Danio rerio: one gene and its partner. The protein of the gene in region 2 binds, or shares a complex with, the protein of the main gene of each other region. Links are inferred from orthologs where the notes say so. Each region holds a gene or a part of one and is shown on either strand. Other genes may lie near its edges.

What was found. The genes of interacting proteins can lie anywhere in the genome.
Region 1: smc2 (region 2) and ncapg share a complex: the UniProt entries of both Homo sapiens proteins name them as parts of the condensin complex. The link is inferred for Danio rerio from reciprocal best matches to the Homo sapiens genes SMC2 and NCAPG.

Annotation. Positions count from the first base shown.
Region 1 is NC_133176.1:25,130,098-25,140,758, forward strand, and holds the end of ncapg (condensin complex subunit 3), read left to right. Parts: intron 1-1,356; coding exon 1,357-1,538; intron 1,539-3,639; coding exon 3,640-3,802; intron 3,803-3,910; coding exon 3,911-4,081; intron 4,082-6,565; coding exon 6,566-6,692; intron 6,693-6,799; coding exon 6,800-6,844; intron 6,845-6,945; coding exon 6,946-7,015; intron 7,016-7,135; coding exon 7,136-7,262; 3' UTR 7,263-7,667; downstream 7,668-10,661. Other genes in the region: lcorl (ligand-dependent nuclear receptor corepressor-like protein), read right to left, coding at 9,430-9,443. UniProt on the Homo sapiens protein: Regulatory subunit of the condensin complex, a complex required for conversion of interphase chromatin into mitotic-like condense chromosomes.
Region 2 is NC_133176.1:21,039,959-21,050,175, reverse strand, and holds the start of smc2 (structural maintenance of chromosomes protein 2), read right to left. Parts: upstream 8,732-10,217; 5' UTR 8,637-8,731; coding exon 8,469-8,636; intron 7,733-8,468; coding exon 7,583-7,732; intron 7,492-7,582; coding exon 7,369-7,491; intron 6,639-7,368; coding exon 6,600-6,638; intron 6,497-6,599; coding exon 6,386-6,496; intron 6,301-6,385; coding exon 6,256-6,300; intron 5,669-6,255; coding exon 5,435-5,668; intron 2,570-5,434; coding exon 2,420-2,569; intron 1,138-2,419; coding exon 904-1,137; intron 1-903. Other genes in the region: exoc1l (exocyst complex component 1-like), read right to left, coding at 9,961-10,217. UniProt on the Homo sapiens protein: Central component of the condensin complex, a complex required for conversion of interphase chromatin into mitotic-like condense chromosomes.

The DNA of each region.
Region 1 (10,661 bases), about 4.1 Mb from region 2:
GTACTGCATACATTACATGACATTTTGTTAAAGGCACACTATAGGAACTAAGGACATAATCTGACATTTCCTGCCTAAACCCAACAAACAGCTCAAATGGAACTAATTACTGTAAATCTGTTGTAATAGATTGATGTAACAAGAATTTAAAAAAAAAAAAGTTTTGTAAGTCCTCAAAAATGGAATAATAAGAGAGCGTGAAATACCAGTGGCTGTTGTCTTGTCTTTACCATTGATGTAAAGACCAGAATGACTTTTTGAAGAAAAAAATGTAGGAAAGGACATGAAATTTGCCCATCAGAAGTTGACGGGCTTGTCTTCTTGTAAAAGTTGTTTGAATATAGCCAATAAACTGGTGTGTTTAAACAATACACATTTTATTATATTAATATAATAAATATAAGTTTACTATAGTTTGTGAGGTATTGCAAAAAACAATCCATTTTACAAATTACAAAATTAACAAAAATATTTTTTTCTTGGTTAAAAATTGTAAATATTATTTTTTTTTATATTAATTTGGGTGTACTATTTTAGGATCATTTCCATGATCTCTAGTTAGTTTTGTTACATTAGCTCTAGTTTTGGCTTTGGTACTGACTAATTTAATGTGTGTAGTCATTTATTCTGGCCACAGTTCATATAATACATACTTGTGATATTTATTTTTTTTTTATATTTCCCAAGCAATTTTTAACAAAGAAAAGTTGTACCCTATCCCCTTTTATGTTTTCTACTAAAGAAAGTCTTCCTTGTTTTATTTTGGCTGGATTAAAACAGTTTTTTTTAATTATTATTGGTTCCCTTCAGATATTAATTTATTCGATTGGCTAGTGTTTGAGCCATGTCTATCAACAGAACCGTGCAGATATATGAGCAATGTGCTGACTTATCAGTTCATTGATATGGCTTTCAAACAATCCTACAACCAATTGCATTTGACACTGCCCTGAATGCCATTCAATGTCAAATGCTCAAATATCAGAATGTTGAAAAATCATATCACTATTATTGAAATGTTCTATCGCGATTTATAAATTGATATTTACTGTTCAATGAATGTGTATCTATTTTTGGATGTATTGTTTAGCACTTGTATGCCCAGCTTTGCATAGGTGTATGCTTTATTGAGAAAGATGTCCTTGTGAGCATGTTAACTCTACACTACAAATCGCTGTGAAGATTATTAAAATAACTGTTATGGTTTTCTAATGTTACAACAATGAGTCAGTGTAGAGCTTTATTTCACAATTCATTAATGTGGAAAGTCCTGTAGCCGATTGGCTAGCATTTTGACAATTTGCCCTAAATGTTCTGCAAATGCTGCATTAAATGATATTAACTGATATTTTTCAGGTCTGCGAGCTTCGCACAGAGACAGCAGAGGGTCTGGCCAAGCTGATGTATTGTGGAAGAATCTTAAGCCCAAAGCTGTTGTCCCGCCTGGTGTTACTGTGGTACAATCCTGTAACTGAGGATGACCAAAGACTGCGCCATTGTCTGGGAGTTTTCTTACAACTGTATGCTCGAGCAAGCAGGTATGCATCTGGTCAGGTACTTTTGAACAGAAATATGATGGCAAATTCAAATGCCAAAATGAATTGAGTGCACTGGTAATGTTTACTTGCTAGGTCAAGTGAACTGCGAGAAGATAACAGACCTACACACGCGGAAACTGGCGGCCGTTCGTGTATTATATAAAAATGGACTTTTATTTAACATTCATTTAATCTATCTAAAAAATGTTATTTTGTAAGTGACGTTTAAAGTAGTGGTTCTAGATTTCATCAGTGTGTGTGTGTGTGTGTCCCACAAAAGATGAAATCTTAGAACCACCCCTGTAAACAGATTAAAATCAAAAATTGTTTACGTATTGTATTTTATATACTTTAAGTCTCATTGATTCAATGACTTTCTTCATAAAGACTTCATGTTTCAATAATTTTTAAAGAATATTATAGTGACAGACATTTAGATGGGTGTTTGTCGACACCTATTGGCACAAAAATGTAATTCCTACATCTTCATTTGAATAGCTACTCAGTATGTATGGCAATATACATTACATTTCCCTTCAGAGGCACAAAAATACCAATTCTCTAAGTACACCTCATGGCCACATCTTATAGGACACATATATAGTGGAGTAGCAGAATAATGGCAATATATTTATGTATTTTGTGCATTTAATGCATGTATAGCTTATTTTGAATAACAATATTTATTGAAAATATATAGAAAATTAATCAGAATTTTTTTTTTGATAAATTTGATCACATTTAGGTTGAGCACAGTTTAGGCGTAGCTGCTAAACTTAATCAAAACAAAAAAGTGATAGCTGGTGACATTATGATATTAGTATACAACACCTATTATTAGCTGTTTGTTTTCAACACAGACAATCAACGAAATACAACTGTCAAAGGCAGCGCATCTGTAAAAAGTAAATCTATTTGGACTATAGCTTGGCATTACTCACTGTCCCTTTAGTCAAAAATAATACATTTTGTGTGAGCAGAGAGATGGGGATCTCACCAGTGCGCTCGATTCTTTTTGCCATCATACAGAAATCCTGAAAGTAGTTTAAAGTTCAGCCACAAATAAAATTCTGCTATTTACTTTTCTTCAGGTTCCAAACCCACAGTAATTTTTATTTGAGTAAAGTATAGGTTTTGTTAATAATGAGACCTGAAACCCCATTTCCACTTGGTAATAACATGCATTTTCAGTCATCCAATTACAAGTCGTCATCCCAGATGCATTTTTTTAAAATCTAGTATTATTATGCATTCAAGTGAGGCACGACCACTTCTGTTTAGATTTCTGAGACTTTTATTGTTTTCGTGAGCAAAAAGGCAAGCAAATGCAATATATTATTACATTCTTGTGTTTTGGTACATAAGTGAAGTATAGATATTTTGTTTTGATGTGCTTTCTCCAAATATGTCCCATAACCATCACATGTTAGGTCAGTTGGCATAAAGTATGTTGTCTGTACAAATGCACATTATCAAGTAAAATTGTGTGTGACAATTTTTTTTTATACTTAATGTGAGCGCACTAAAGGAGACTTGGTTTGGCGATTCTGGATCCTACTGGAAAAATACAAATTCTTAATTTTTTTTTTCTTTCGTTTGCTCCAGCATGGCATTGACCACACTTAAACTGACAGACAACAATTAAAGTAGTATGCAGATAGTTTATTGCGGATGAGACAAGATTTTGTAAAACAAACGCAACTACATCATATTATTCATGTGAAACTATCAAACGCTATCAAAACTGCCATTTCGTCAAGTTTAGTAGTTTGCTAACCATTAACAAAGTGATAACATTCATGAAGTCTAAAATTCATAATCATTTATATAAAATATTTGAATTTCACTCGTACACAAATTTTTGTTAATGAACAATACAGCAACATTTTACTGCTTCTATATGTGTTATGGGGTTTGGTCTAGGAAAATGTTTCAATTGATTTCTTTTTGCTTTAACATCAATGTAAATGTATAGAGCATCTAAAAAAACGTAATATTTGAGTAAACTAACCCAATAATGTTACTGGCATTTAAATGAAATGCATTGTTGTAAGTGCACAGCAAGATATTTACAGTTTCTCCTGAAATTGTTGTACACTAGAGCAAATCAAGAGTGTGTGGAGGAGAGTTTCCTACCAACCATGAGAACACTGTTCAATGCTCCTGTGACCTCTCCGTTGTCTGAGGTAGACGCGTCCAATGTGGCTGAATTGTTTGTTGAACTAACACGACCCAGTGCTCTCGTGCAACCTGCGGTCGTACAGGTACAGTGAAACTTGCATGTACACTTACAAAAGTTTCAGTAGTGCCTCTGTTTGAAGCACTTGAATCTGTTAATATATCATCTAAGTGATCAAACATCTCTTTTGCAGGCTGTGTCAGTTCATGATTCGCTGGCGTTGCGTGTTTGTAATGAGATCTTGAGAGATGTTTCTGCTCCTGAAGTGCGCCTCTACTGCAAAACTCTCAGCTGGCTGGAGATTAACACTGAACCTGGACCTGCCAACAATGAACTGCAGCTCCTGTTAAAAGACATATTACAGGTACTGCCATGTCTTTTGTAAAAGTGCATAAAAGAAAAGATTGTCAGATTAAGGCAGAAACACTTGACAATGAAATGGGCTGTCAAATTTGATTGGCATTAAAGGGCACCTATTTTAACCCTTTTACAAGATGTAAGATGAGCCTTTGGTTTCTCCAGAATGTGTCTGTCAAGTTTCTCCTCAAAATACCCATCAGATCATTTATTATAGCATTCACAATACCCCCATTTTGGTGTCCGAGTACAGTGTAGTCTTTTTAAGGTGCATTTACACTAGGCTATCCGAACTCTGCCCGGGTGCATTTCCAGAGTTGTTTGACGTGTAAGTGCTCTGAATCAGGCCCAGGCGAGATTCAGTTGGCAGTTTCTGGTGTTTAAATAAACACTTATTGTCATAGTTTATTAAAGATACAAACCCCCCACTGCATGTCAGCTGCCACCTTCAGCAGACTTCCTAATACCTGCAGCACAAAGACATTTATGAACATTTATTAGCATCAAAAGTGGTGGATCTGTTCGGCAGATTATTTGACTGTGTGCCTCTGCATATCAAACGACTTAAAATAATGAAAAAACGCTATAACTAAAGCAATCTACTGTGAGCAACAGCACTTTACTTCCCGTTAAACTGAACAGTCGCATCATCGATGACGTATGTGTGCTTCGGCTCGCAAGGTAAAGATGCAGTATGGGTGCAGGCCTAGGGGGACAAGTGTGCTTCAACACGGTTGACGGGGGGTTTCTATAGGCAATAGGAACAATAAGAGGTTAAGGAGAGAAAAATAAAAACTATTTATTGCAATACTCATTTTGTTTTACTTAAAAGCCAAGAAAAGTACACTAGTTCCCAGTGTATTGTATAAAAACAATTTACACTGAAATCTCACAGCTGCTGGTAGCCCATGTACAAACTGGGGAACACATAAAATCCTACACTTTGAAAATAAACATTCATGTGAAGATAAATTGGCCATTTCAGATAAACATATTTGTACTTAAGTAAACATAAATAAACCATCTTAATTATCTCGGTGCTGAAAAAATGTGAGACTGTAGTCTGTAATGTGGATCTAGTGCTTTTATAAAATGACAAAAGCCCACCTCTCCAATCACAAAAAACGGCTGCAAATCTTTAGCAATAAACACCCTTTGTTATTTTTATGTGTCTCTCTGAACCAGTTGGGTATGTTTGCTTGAAAGATTCAGTAAGGTATTGTTTTTATTTGGAGGACTTTATTACCTTCTCTGCTATCCTGCCTTCAGACAGTGATATTGCTGGGTAATGGCGCTGCAGATGTGTAGTCATGGTTATACGTGTAAAACAATGCTTGCACAGTTATGTAGTGTTCACCGTTTTTCTTTTATTGGCATTTTACTTACCGGCAAAACCGAAATGTCCTCACACCGCAAATTTGAAAGAGGTCGGCGCTTTCTCATACTGTTGCCTCACTTCGCCAGCGTTTCCTTGTACTGTTGCTTCAGCCTCACTTCATCGCCGCTCGCAATGTTAAAGTGTGGAATGATGGTCAAGCGCCCCCTAACTTTAGAGCATAGTGATTTGATATTCCTCATCTTAGCTAATGGATTTAGAGGCGCACACAGTCAATTCAGGGAGATATGGAACGCACAAATTATTTAAATGCAAAACCGGAAAAACTGCAATTCACAAGCGCATATTGAACTGTGGAGGTCGTACCGTACAGTTTAATATTATATTGAGAACCGTGGCATCCCTACTGTGGTGATTATAGCAGTTAAGAGTTACATAGCGATTTTATTGTCTTTATTACAAACATGATCTGTTGTAAACTTTAGAAGCTTTAAAAACTTTAAAAAAAACAAATCAGAGTTGGAACAGATAATTTAATACCAGTGTCCTTGCAAAAAGAAAACACAATAAGTCACACAATGTCATTACGAAGTACACACACACACGCACGCACGCACGCGCGTATAGTTTTGCACCGCTTTTGCATGTCCGGGATTGAAGCGTCTTCTTTTATAATTGTACTGATGTGGCTGTGGTGCTGAAGTAAATCGCTGTAATTAATTAAACATGCACTGTTTTAAAACATTTTAAACTGGTAAAACTCACTCTTGATCACATTTGATGATCCTAGCAAACTGAACAGATCCTTTTTTCCTGGTTGCTTTGCACACGTCCTGTTTTGTTGATATGATTATATGGGTTACTACAGAGACATGTTAATACGCAGCTGTCAATCAATTTGGTTGGCGTAGAAACCGCACTCCTACATCAAGTTGCAGTTGGTCTGTAAACCGCTCCAATTGGTCCACCATTTTTGTTGTTAAATTGAAAAAACTGACTGGTTGTGTTTAAATCGCCCCAATATGATGGTATATACACTATATCTACACACGTCTGTCCAAACAGCTTGAACAGTAAATTTTTTTCAACATAGGTGCCCTTTAAAGCAAGTGATTGATTGTGTAGTGACTACCACATCTTTGTCTTGTGTTACAGGAAGTGAAAGATAAGTACTGCACAAGGGTTATTGAAAAGCTTTGCAACCAGCTAATCGGAGATCATGGTTCCAAATCAGCCAGTAACCAGGACACAGCTTTGCTTAACTTGGATGAAAACAATGGAGGTACTAGCAAGCATAATGTAGTTTTGCATCCAATTTTTGATGAGATTATTACGATTCAAATTAAGACTGGTTTAGAATTGCTTTAACTAGACTGAACATTCTTGCAGAGTTGATGAACAAGGATGAGACGAAACCTAAACGAGCAAAAAGAGGTCATTGGCTTTTTCTTTTTGTCTTATGTTTGTGTTGGGTTGACAGGTAAATGTTTGATAGCTTGTATTCAGCTTCCACTCTTTTTTTTGTCTTTTTACAGGCCAGAAAAAAGCTGCCACTGCAAAGAATGGAAAAAAATCTTATAAAGCAGACATGTCTTCTGATGAAAGGTTGGACTGCGCTACAATTTGACTTTTTTCTCAAGCTGAGATGCTAACTTTTTTGCAGGTGGTTTATTTTAATTGCGCTATTGCTAAAATATCTTTCTTTCTTTATATATATATATATAGTGATGAAGAGAATATTCCTGAAGAGGCTCCATCAGTGCGACCAAGCCGACGTGCAAAAATTGCTGCTCTGGATAAAACCAAGCAGGATCTGACTGCCCTCATAAACCAGGAGGCCAATGGTTCATAAGAGTGGATTATTTGAGAGGGGCGTCTTTCAACCAATGATGTCCTCAGTTTTACCTGAGAAACTACTGGTGGATTTGAATACTAGCGTTCTCTCTCTTTAGTTTAAATACTGGTAAATATTGATGTATTCTAAGATTGTTGGTTAAAATGTGCCATCTGCAGTCCTTTTCATGTGTGTAGGAGGCATGCCAATTCATTTGCTTGTTTGAACCTGTAAACAAATGCACAAGGAAGTGGACTGAACTCACCCCCTTTTATAATTGGCTATTTTAAGAATGTTGGTCTGATTATGTGAATGTTCATACCTTTATATAATTAATATGTGAGAGCTGATAAAGAAGCTAACTCCTGTTTCAATTGAACTTTTGTATGCTTTTAACTGAAATAAAACAAAATCTGTTCACAAGAGCTTTTATTGTTTTAATGATTGAGACAGCATCTTTGAAGGCAAGTATAAAAAACACAGAGAAAACACAATACATGTACATAAGTTATACGATTATGTACAACTTGTAGCACCAGGTAACAAATATACAGTGGCCAAAAAAAACAATATACAGAAGACCTAACAGGTCTTATAACAAGCTTCAACTCCAGCTGTCGGTTGGCATAGGTGTACAGGCAAAATGTACCTTTCCCTTTTTTTTTTTTTTTTTAGCCTTGTCTGTTTGACACTGTAGTACTTCGAATGGTTGTGACCCTAAAAGCACTAGTTGGGATTGCTGAGGTTTGTGCAGACATTCATGTTGGCACTGCCACTGGTTATGTAAAGGGTAACTGAAAAGCATTTAGCAGCCTGGCCTACCAGTTAGAGAGTTGGACTTGTGTTCCTAAAGGTCAGTGGTTCAGTTCCTGGCAAAGGTTTTAGGTGAGGGGGTAATGAATAACCGGCACTCTTTTCCTCCCACGATTGAAGTTGAGTCCCCACTAAACCCGCAGCTGCTCCAGGTGTAAGACACTCCACAGTGTTAGAGTGAGTGAATGTCTAAACATGCTAAATTGTTTAATTTCTGCCGTTTTAGAACAAACACTAGCTGACATTCCCCAGACACAAAGGTTTAAATCCAGTAGAACATATTAGATAATGTCAAAGACCAGTTTCTCAAAGCTTAGATTATCAATCTGACTACATTTTAAATGCACAGATGCAAGCCAGTCTTGTTAAAAGGAACCTAAATTAATTTTGGTGACCAACAGAAGCTAAAGTAGCAGTAGGACTAACAACAAATGTTAAATAAATAACTAAACATGGCCTAAATCAAGGACAAGGTCACAACAATACATAATCATTTCAGGCTGAACTACCATGACTTACCAGTACAGTTTAGGAGGTAGGTGTCATACTGCAAGATCACAATTTAAGATTTTCACAAGGTATGCTTTTCTTCCCCAAGAAACGATATGTGGAGCACATTTGCTTCAGGATAATCTTAAAAGCTTTTAATTTAAGAGAAAGTAAAATAGACTTTTACATCTTTCTAAAAGTAAAACATTGCACTAAAATACACTGTACGTTACAACTTTTGTTGTAGTTAGAAATAAAATGAAATGAGAAGCAGGAGGGGTTTGGTAGTGCAATAAGAACAAGGATGTAGATTAATGCTTAAATGATTTCCCACAAAACAGTCAAACAATCTAAATTCCAGTCAAATATTTCTGTAAAGTAATGATAATAATAAAGTGACTGAACTTAAAGTAAAAACACTACACTCACTTTCAAATTTAAAAGTTCTATTTGAATGGCCAGTTTTTGTCTTAGTGGCAACATTTATAGCACATAAGACTCCTATCAAACATTGGCAAATCTAAAAATAAGATCATTTGTATCCTTTAAAAATGTAAATGTGAAAAAAGTTGTCTTCAGAAAGTTTTAAAATCACAGGCTGACACCCAGACAACATACTGCTCATGTAACCTTTCATACTCCTTCATGCAAACAGATCTTCTGGTCTGCACCAAAAATAAAGCCAAGTAAAAAAATGAAACGTTTTACAAATAAAATATTTAAATAGTGCAACAAGTGTCAAATGAATTTTTACGTTGTTTTTGCTACACGACGCTTGCTGAGGTTGTGTGTCGTAATGCTTTTGATACTCAGCCAGACCACTGTTGAAAGGCACCTTGTGTTAAGAGTTCAAGAAAATGTCTTGCCCGAAACTGGTCCCAAGTTACTTTAATGATCCTGTAAAACACAAAACAGAGACACTTATATTTGATTGCAGCCTACAATATTTACAACACATCACAAACAAAGTTTAACAACACAAAGTTAAATCTATACAAAAGATAAAATAATCGTAACTGATATTATGAATCAAACATTCTTTATAGCAAGTGTCACCAATCTCATTCCTGGAGGTCCGGTGCCCGGCAGGGTTTAGCTCCAACTTGTCTCATCACACCTGCCTGGGTAATTCAAATGCACCTAGTAAGACCTTGATTAGCTTGTTCTGGTGTTTTTGATTAGGGATGGAGCTAAAATCTGCAGAACACCGGATCTCCAGGAAAACGTTTGGTGATCCCGGCTTTATAGAGACCAGAAACATACTTTAAGCCCATTTGCAGACGAGTTATTAAAACACATTCCGGTTGAACACACTTGAGTTATGTTACACTTTCTAGCAGACCTCAGAAGTTTAGGGGTAGTTGACCAAAAACAAATAAAAAAAGTTTGCTGTACTATTTAAAATAGTAAAAACAAAACAGCAAAAATAAATAAATGAAGCCATGCACACCAAGCGATTTATAATAAGACATCGAAGAGAAGTCAAACCAGGGGTTTTCAAACTGTGGGGCGCACCAGCATCTATTAAGGGGGCGTGCACTTGAGTAAATTATGACAGTTTTTGTGTGCTCACTAGAGTAATTCCGATTAACCTTAGCTCCACATATAACTATCAGGCACATATAAAGTTCATGCGTTCCAGTAAAATATATGCAAATAAAATGGAGCGGGTGCTTTTTAAAATGAATGACGGTGAATGAAAGTCAAACCGGTGAGCGTCTAACAAAAAAGTGCACTTCTGCATCAAATCAGCAGAATGCCCTTCTGGATCTTTCACTATCTTTGAAGACACACTGACTATGTTTACATAGATATCAGTAATGTAGTTATTTGCCTTAATAGACAATAATATAATTAAGGTGTTTACTTGAAGTGCTTTTATGTAAGAGTTTCCTGTAATTTTGGGGGACTTTAACTACAGTTGGGCACACTGCACAAAAAGATTTTCTTACTTAGATTTTTTTTTGTCTTGTTTCTAGTCCAAATATCTAAATGGTCTCAAATCAAGAAGCATTTTCTAGACAAGCAAAACATATTGTCTTGTTTTAAGAAATAATATGCCAAAATGAAGTGAGTTTTTTCTTAAGCAAAATAATCTGCCAATGGGGTAAGCAA
Region 2 (10,217 bases):
GCAAAACAATTACGAAAATGCTAATATAATAAAGAAACAAAAGTTAAATGATTTTTTTACTTTATGTCTTTTTAACTTTTATTGTAAAACAATGTCTGGCAAAAAAAAATAAAAATACTTAACTTCGTCCTAATGGGTTTACTTTTAGTAAATACCACTCAAAATAAATATTTTTTGAGCATCAAATCTGAATATTAAAAGATGCTTTCTTGAATTTAGCAAAATTCAGCTCTGCCATAACAAAAATAAAAGGATGCTCTCTTAAAATAAAATGTACAGTTTAGACAATTATTTTAAATTGCAAAAAAAAAAAAAAAACTTGTCAAAATAAATAAATAAAACCTCATCATTGCCCAAACGGTTAAACAGTAGACTCACAATATTCATAAAGTTGAGGGTAGTCTAGAGACATTATTGATTTTAGTAACACAGACAGTAAACAATACTTATATTACAATAGTAATAGTATGCTCAGTGAACAGTTATTGAGGTATATACTGTGGACAAAAATATTTGATCAATGTGAACACTGGCTGCATTTTACTCCAGTTTTTTATGCCTTTTTACCCGCTAAATTCACTGTCTTGTTTCCTCGAATATATGTCATTGATTACTTGACAGAAGTGCCCACTACTGGTGAAACATCTAAATGAGTTTAAATGAAACACCCCAAATCCTTGAGCAGTTGCAGCTGCATTGCATTCTGGGACATATAGGTGCTGGGGTGGACGAATGAATTTAAGAGTATGTCCATGTAATCTACCCTCATTCACTTGATGAAGTGAAACGCACTTTAAAATGGCAGTGAGGGATGCCCATAGGGAACAAGGGAAGGGAAGTTAGTGAATGTGTTAGTAAAAGTGCAGTGGAATGCAGCCAGTGTTGACGGTCTCTAAAGGTCACCTGTTTGGCCTCCGTCTCAGCTTTACTGATGTCATTCTTGCAGGTCATCATCTGGCCACTAAGTGTGGCTTCAGCTCCATCCTCATTGGCAGAGAGACCAGCTGACACTGCCTTGAAATGCTGCTGTGCTGCTTCCAGCGCTTCTGCGTCCTTCTGGCCCTCTTCCTTCACTGCCTTCAGACGCTCTACTGCTTTAGCGACCTCGGCCTCCTTAGCGGACATCACCTTCTTATCCTAGTGCAAACAAAGTACACGTTTAAATTGACACTTCCTTAAATCAACACACCAATTTTAAACAATTTATTAAAATAGTTTTTAAAAATATATTTATTAAATTTTAATTTCCATGTTGAATCCATTTCATAGTATATACAGGAATCAAAGAGTGAAATTCAATACCTTTTAAGACCTTTTTAAGACTCTTTGCACACTTTAAGACCTTAATACCACTTTTCAATCGTAAACACTGGTAAGATTTTAACTTGCAGCATATTTACTAAATATTAATGTAAGAAATTAATCCAAAACTAAACCATTATTGATATACTGAATAAAAATCTATTAAATCTAACTAATTCAGCAGGTTGGCGAATATAGAACTGCAGAAATAATGTTGCTGGCTTGATTACTGCAGTAAACAAAGCACCATAATGTTAAATCTAACAAGATTTTATTGATTTCATAAACTACACAGCATCCTGATATTCGCTGATTTAATTCAGGCAAACTATAGCATACAACTATACATTGCATAAACAAAAATGATATAAAATGTAATACCTTGCAAAATAGCATTTAAGACTTAATACTTTATATAAGGGGCTTAAATTTCTTTACATTTTTAAATATCAATTAAAGTATTTTAAACATCCAACACTCAAAAGGCAAGACATTAGATAAATAGGGTAAATATAAATTAAGAGTTCCCTAGTTGACTTAATACATTAAAAATTGTAAATATTTGGTAATTATTAAGTTATTATTTCATTATAAGTTCTAATTTGCATACATTTCTTGTTCAACATCAAGTTAAAAATTTGGTGTCATTTTCTTTTGACATATTACAAATCAAAGGCTTTTAAAGAGGGTGCTTTGAGCATCTATTTTTACTCACTGCATAATTCAACAAGTACCATAAACTGCCAGAAAAATAAAGTAGAATAAAATGTACAAACCTATAGAACAACCCACAGAATACAGATATGAATAAAACATTTGGTGTAAGTGCTATTAGGAGATGAAGGAGATTTATGTCTAAGAGAGTGAAGTAGTAAAAATATATATTGCAACTGAAATCTACAGACACAAACAGACACAATGCGCGAGACGACAAACAAGAATTGTATGCATCTTCAATATATCTCTTTTGGGTTCAACAGATTAAATAAAACTCAAATATTTGGAACCACTTGAGTAAATTTCCATTTTTGGGTGAACTACCTTTAAGTCAAAGAGTGGAAAACCAAAAAGCAAATACAAAAGCCTAATTTGAATAAAGGACAGCATCATCTCATACCTCCTCCATGTTTTTGACCAGCTCTTTCCTCTTCTTGGTCTCATCTTTCAGGTTTTGCTTCTTCAGATCCAGGGCACTTTGGGCCTTGGTGTCCACTCTCTGTGCTTCAGACAAGGTCTCTTCCAGCGTCCTCAATACCCCCCCAACCTCCTGGAGAGAAAGAGAGACAGACACAGAAATGAGACGAGCTAATGGAGTACAACAGGAGACAGAAATATTCAATCAATCAACCGCACACTTTTCTAACAGGTATCAATTTGCATCATTAAAAATTCACAAATCTTTTCCCGTACAATGATTTTAATACTTTTGCCAGTCCATTACCCACCATCCCATCCCATATTACAGACCTCCAGTCTCCACAAAAGTACTCGATTACCAAACCTGTTCAAGTAAAAGAAACCCAAACTATTTAAATTCGAGGTCACCCCACCGCAGACTGCGGTCCAGATTTGGACCTTGGATGAGTTTAATCAGAACCACAAATCATTTTGAATAAATTAAAGACAGTTTTCCTCTCTGCATAGAACATTTTGACAGTTGACACAACTAAAGCTACACAACAGATGCAGCCGCAATAACTTACAACACAAAATTTCAAGATGAAAAAATTATACATGCAAAAAAATAACCATGATAACAATTACTATTTCTAATTAATAAACGTTTTATATAATCTGAGTTAATTATACAATACATATTGCTAGATTAAAGGAAACATTATCACATTTTTTAAATCACTGCATTTCAGATAACTTATGATTAAAATAGTAAGTGTAGTCATATATTGTTTACATGTTTGAATGGTACAGTTGTGAATACACTTATATTCAGAACTATAATGTATTGCATTTTTTATTTAATGCCATGTCAGTGACCAAGGCTATTTTCATGGGAGGAACATTTCAATAAATATACAATTAAAAATCAATAAGGAACACATCAATTAAATAAGTTTTTTAGTGTTATTACATAATAAAAATATTAAAATCTTTTTTGTTGTCACTTTGCTAAAAATGTCCTTATGAGAGTTCAATTCATTTAAAAGTCTTCTGGAATCAGTAAAAGCAGGACAGTCCAGAAAAATGTGTTTTAAGGGGAGTCGTGCAGCACAAACACCGAGTAGGGATTTCACATTGGAGCAAAAAACATGGGTTATTCTTGTATTGTGTCTGGTAAAAATCACCTGATCAAATCTAGTCTTAAAATCTCTTAACAATCTGTGAGATTTCAGGTTGGATTTCATGTAATGTATTATTTTCTAATGCATCCCGTCTTCTTGCCACTTGTTTAAAATGTAAACATTGATAAAAGGTCTCATCTCTGATGGAGGAATTTGACATTTGTTCACCACTTGTTTCAATTCAGTACTATAAGATGAATTGTGAATACACTTTGATTTAGCAGTTTGTAAGGTCTTTTAAGGTTGCGTATCTAAAAAAATAATACCATAAAAGCAGCACTGTGAAATACAGGTTTTAAAAAGATGTTTATTCTTGTTATAGCAAAGCTGAATTCATGAGTTGAGTTCAATGTCATGTGATCTTCGGAAATCATTATAAAATGCTCAATTGATTGGCTTAATATTATCAAAGCTGACAACAGTTATGCCATTTTTAAGTAAAAACTGTGATATACTGTTTATAAAGAGAAAGTTGAAAAGCACAACATTTACAGTTGAAGTCAGAATTGTTAAACCCCCTAAATTATTAGCCTCCCTGTCTATATTTTCCCCCAATTTCTGTTTAATGGAGAAGATTTTTTTCCAAACATTTCCAAACATAAAAGTTTTGATAACTCATTACTAATAACAGATTTATTTTTTCTTTGCCATAATGACAGCAAATAATATTTGACTAGATATTTTTCAAGACACTTTTATACAGCTTAAAGTGACATTTAAAGGCTTAACTATGGTAATTAGGCAGGTTTGGGTAATAAGGCAAGTTATTGTATAACGATTGTGTATCGAAAAAATATATAGCTCAACAGGGCTATTAATTTTGACCTTAAAATGGTTTCTAAAAAAATAAAAACTCCTTTTATTCTAGCCGAAATCAAACAATATAAAAAAATCTAAATTTCATTGCTCTGTTAAACATTATTTAGAAAATATTTTAAAAAGAAAAAAATTATAATTCTGACTTCAACTGTATTTTACACAGAATTTTTCTGTGTAACAGTATAAATGAGTTTAATGCACTGGTGCGGATTGAAATATTTAACTAAACCTTTTTTTTAATAGTAGGTAGCATATCTGTTCTTAAGAAAGACATGTTTTGAAAAAAACTTATTAGAAATTTGAAAGAAAAAAAAAACAACAGCAACAAAAGTGGTGTTCTTTTATAAATTATCTTAAAACTATGTATAAACACAAGGACAATTTGTATTCTTACTGATCTGATACTGTTCTCTGTTTCTCTGTACTCCTTTTCTCTTACATGCACTATGTTTGCATATTTGTGATGGTAAAATATATTGTGATGTAAATATCATTACACAATATGTAAATAGAATATTTTACAGAAAAAAAATATTTGCATTTGAACTTTGGAAAAAAAAAATATTTGCATTTTTTTAAATCGAATAATTAATAATAATTAAAAGTCTCAGTAGATTATAAGAGGCGGAAATTAGCTTAGCAAATAAAATCTGATAGCAATTTAAATGAATCACTGAAACAACATCCAGGTGGCATCATCAGTGGTGCACACTGGTGGTGGATGAGGAGATTCCCTCAATGTGTAAAATGCTTTAAGTGTCCAGAAAAGTGCTATATACAAGTAAGGAATTATTATAATTTACATTTTTTATTTATTTAGCCAAAAACGGAGCAATCTGCTCAGTTTTTATAATAAGTAATCCATAAGTGAGCCCTTGTTCTCCTTGGGCCTGCCCCCCACTACTCTGATGGACTTTGTTAGACAGGAATTGCCCCCTTAATGAATATTCCCAATGAATGCACTATTAATTCCTGCCCTTGTTTTTAGATCTGGCTGTTTGTTCTCCACTCACCTTGTCTCTCCTGCGCTCCAGCTCCTGTATCTCTGCACTGAGCTCCTTCACTTTGGCCTCATTCTGTTTCATGTTCTCCTGCAGCTTTGCGATGGAGCTCTGCATCTCTTGCAGTTCTTCATTAGACTTCAGCTTGGTTTCCTCGGCACACACAAACAGGTACGCCACGTACAGCCGACTCAGGTGTTCAATCTCTCGCATGAGCTTCTGGTACTCCAGATAGGATGCACGTTCCTGAGAAGAAGCAAATGAGAGCAATACACTTTACTACATTTTTTAAGGTAACTGGTTGCAAAACTTTTATATACGGTCTGATTTTAAACAAACCAATTAAGTTAAACATTACTAAATTTAATTTGTTTAAATTCAGCCCATATAAATGGTTTGCAACCAACTACCTTAAAAAAAATGTGTAAATCCAGTTAATCATTTTTTTGAGTGTAGGACAAGGCATAAGGATGAGTATATATTGAGTCCTATGTACTCTGTCTGCAGTAAGGAACTGATGCTGTTAGAAAACGCTTTTCAAAGCAGCACATAAAGGCACACAGTAATGTATAGCCTTTAGATTACATTATTTATTATTTAGCTACTTTATTATTAATATACCAAAGGTATAAATAAATAATATATGGTTTTAATCTAATCTACACAAATACTTTAAATTATAGATATGTTATTTATTATTAATCTGTTATTCATTCATACGTTTTTTGAGGGGGGTTTGACAGTAAAAAGTAAATGTGCTAACACCATGCTAATACCATTATTTTACAATGAACTACACCTAAAAGAAAAATTAAAAAAAATTAAATGCCTACCTCCTTTAGTTTCTCCATAGCAGGGGTGATCTCCTCATCTAGGATCTGTCCCACACCCACAGAAACATATTAGGATTACATTTTCAAAAGATTAAATTGTTGTTGAACATTAATATTTAAATGTACGTACAGTCTGAATTTCTTTGAGCTTGGCATCTTTCTTCTCAATAGTTTTCTGAGCACTGATCTTCTTACATTCGTACATCCTTGTACCTGCTGCTTCCTCAATCATGGCCAAAATCTAAAAATGGAAAAAATAGGAAATTAACATCTTGGTATCGTTTTTTTTTTTTTTGTTTGTTTAATCAAACTGACTATTCCTTTTTATTTAAATGATCTCTTACCTCAGGAGGCTTCATGTTTAAAACCTTGGTGATTCTCCCCTGGAATAAACAGGTAAAAATAATGAAATTGCTCTGTTTTGAGATATGCAAATCCAAAATAAGGGTACAATATTAAGGATTCAATAGCCATTCAAATGGAATTTGCTATATTATGCAGCATTGCAATATTTAGCAAATTTTGGATGAAAATATTAAGAGGTAATTTACACCAAATCAAACAATGATGTGAACTAGTTTCTGTGAATATGAAAACACAAAGACTTCATATTGAATGTTCTAAACCTCCCTGTCAATAAGTTTTGCACAATTTGAGAAATAGCTAAACCTAATCTATGTGTTGTTTTTTTTTTTTAAATATGTAGGCTTTGTTAAACTCTTAATAAACTGTTGTAAATCACTTGCAAGATTTTAATTCAAAATGCTTTTTAAGTTACATACGATTAATAATTAACTATTAAACCAGTGTAAAGAAATATTAAACACACAAAAACAGAATCTAAAAAAAAAATAAATAAATTAAACACATATATATATTATTCCTGGGACCACAGGCCCAAAAAGATTTATAAAAACATTGAGAACTTAAAATTCACTATATTATTTTCACCTATATAAAACAAACTTATATCAAATAAAATCTGAATTTTGCAGGGGAAAAAAATTGTAAAAAAGTTTTTAAAGCATTATTTCATAAATGTGATAATAATAATTATAACAATAATAATTGTAGAATATTATGAGGCCATATAACTTCTCTTATGATGATTACCTGCATGATGAGAAAGTGAGGGTTGTTGACATTCAAGCCAACTGAACAAAACAAATCCTGGACACGCAGGTTGTTCGCATTTACGCCGTTGATGAGGTACTTGTTGCGACCACCTATGACCACCTGCACAACACAAATAACATCTTCACATTCTCATTCTTAAAGGTGAGCTGCTATCTTATAGTGAAAATGGCACTGATTTTAGGTCATCTACCTGTCGTGTGATGGTAATCTCATCATGCGTCTCAAACCCAAGTGGACTCTGTTTCTTATTGGAGTTGTCAAAAGTGATGGACACTGTTGCCTTGGTGATCCCAGCCAGGCCATTTTTGTAAACCAGATCTTGGAGATTTGTGGCACGAACCTACAAAACAAGCAGCTTTAGCTTTAAAAGTCGTTATATGTATTTCTATTTTATTGAGCACATCTTTTGTTTAAGTTTAAGTTATAAATATATAATATTCACTTATATTTTGTTTGCCTTTTGTTGTCATCATACAATTTATTAACAACATATGTGACCCTGGAGCACAAAATTAGTCTTATATCACAAGAAGGCTATATTTTGGCCGTAGCCAAAAATACATTGTATAGGTGAAAATTATTGATTATTCTTGTATGCCAAAATTACTGGTAATGTTATATTAAGTAAAGACCATGTTTAGTGAAGACATTTGGTAATTTTCCTACGGTAAAAACTCAATTTCTGATTAATAATGCCCTTTGCAAACCTAATATGGAAAACTTCAAAGGCGTTTTTCTTAGCATTTTTTTATTTATTTTAGATTTCAGATTTTCAAATAACTTCCAGTTGTATGCATATCGGCTAAATGTGGCCCTATCGTAAAAAAGTAACGTTATACATCAGTGGAAAGATTGTTTCTTTAGGTTTAAGATACAAAAAAATGCACGTATCTCTAGTTTTGTGGTAACTTACAGGGTCACATATAACAATGAAAATGATTGTATTTCGTTTTTCTGCAAACAAAAATAAACAATGTTAAGCTAAACAACAATCAAAATAACGCAATCACACCTTAAAAACGGATTTATACACATTGCTAAGTTCTGATAATAAATAAGCATGTTTAAACCCTCACCTGGGAAAGGTTCGAAATCCCCAGTAAAAAGCAGATGGAGTCGAGTATATTTGACTTTCCGCTGCCGTTCAGTCCAGTGATGGCGTTAAAAAACGGATCAAATCCGTTAATCTCTGTCCTTTCGGCGTAGGACTTGAAGCCCTCTAGTACAATCGACTTTATGTACATTTTATCGAAATGATATGAGTAAAATCCACTAACAACGCTTGATGAAAACAACCTCCAAAAGCCCCGGCGTTGCTTTCAGTTCAACCATCTAAACTTGAAATTTGGCGCCAGGCGCGTTTCCGCTCCGCCGTTCAAAAAAACAGAACAGATTTCAAATTCCAGTAAAATCACAAGCAATGAATTTCACTAGAAGCCTGGATATATTTAGACAAAATCTAAGTTTATTTGGTAAAGATTTACAGTCATTACAAGCAACGCTTTGCTGTCAGAAGTGAAATAAATGTACAACATTTTTTTCAGGCTACTTTTTAGCCACCACAATGATGAAGGACCCAAAACATTGAAGCGTGTATGACGTCATTAGGGCGGTTTAGCTCAAGCTGGCCGGCTCGAATGACATTTGATCGTTACGTTCAAAAGAGTGTAGTTCAGCGCACATTGAGGCTGTTTTTAATATGATGGCATGTTATTACACGACTGTACGAAATATCAGATTACAGTAAGTCAGTCGCGGCATTCAGTAGTTAATTTTCTGATTGCCAAACGCTACATTTAGTACCTCCCATAGCTGTGATAGTTATATATCCACATGTAACGTTAATAAAACCCTTTAATCCCAATGTAAATAATTTCACAATGTATATGTTTATTTTATTACAAAGGTATAGTACTATATAGCCTACTTTATATTATCTGGGAGTTAAGTTAATTGCGGCCAAGAATAATACATGCATGGAATTGAATCTTTCCAAAGTTAACCTACATTCTGTATCATTTGCAAATGTGCATAAATTCGTGGCATAAATAGTTAAATGTTTGCAGTACTATTGCAATGTCACTGATTCAACAACGCAAAGCACATTGCAATAGAAATGTGAAAACAGCAGTTTTTTCACCAAAGAATCTCACCCACAATTATAATATCTATGTTATTATATCTAAACGTGCTGTATCCACGTTTACCTCACAGTTTTACTTTTTCAAATGTTATACCACATTAGAATAAATCGACTAAAGTACATGCAAAATATGTAACATTGCATTAATAACAAATATACATTCTCAAAATTCAAGTCACGGCATAATTACACATCAAAAACAGTCTTTTACGCTACATTTGCACAAGGCTAAATTGGATTTCACCCACACTGTGGAGTTATGTTACAGTTGCTGTAGGTCTGAGTGCTCGGAGCTTGGCTAAGTGCTCAAAACACAGCATAGTTTTGTACACTCCCTTGGGCTTTTTTTATACACTTTTTGTCAACATAACATTTTTAAAGGCAATTTGAAAGAAATTAGACTCATTCAAATGTCTCTGCTTTCTCTATGCCAGAGGGACCGGACACATGGAAAGACACACCAAGTTAAAGGCATAGAAACAGACCTGCGTGAGGACAACACAGTCACCACGATCTGAATACATTGCGGTGGGCTGAATGTAAGTCCAGTCAAAGTTCTTAAGCTTCAATGCAGTGTGGTGATACTTCCTGCTCAAGGACAGCAGACAGCGGGCCAGGGTGTATTTGGCCGCACAGCTCACTGCTCTGATGGGCCGCACCGAGTTGAAATGCATCAAAAAAC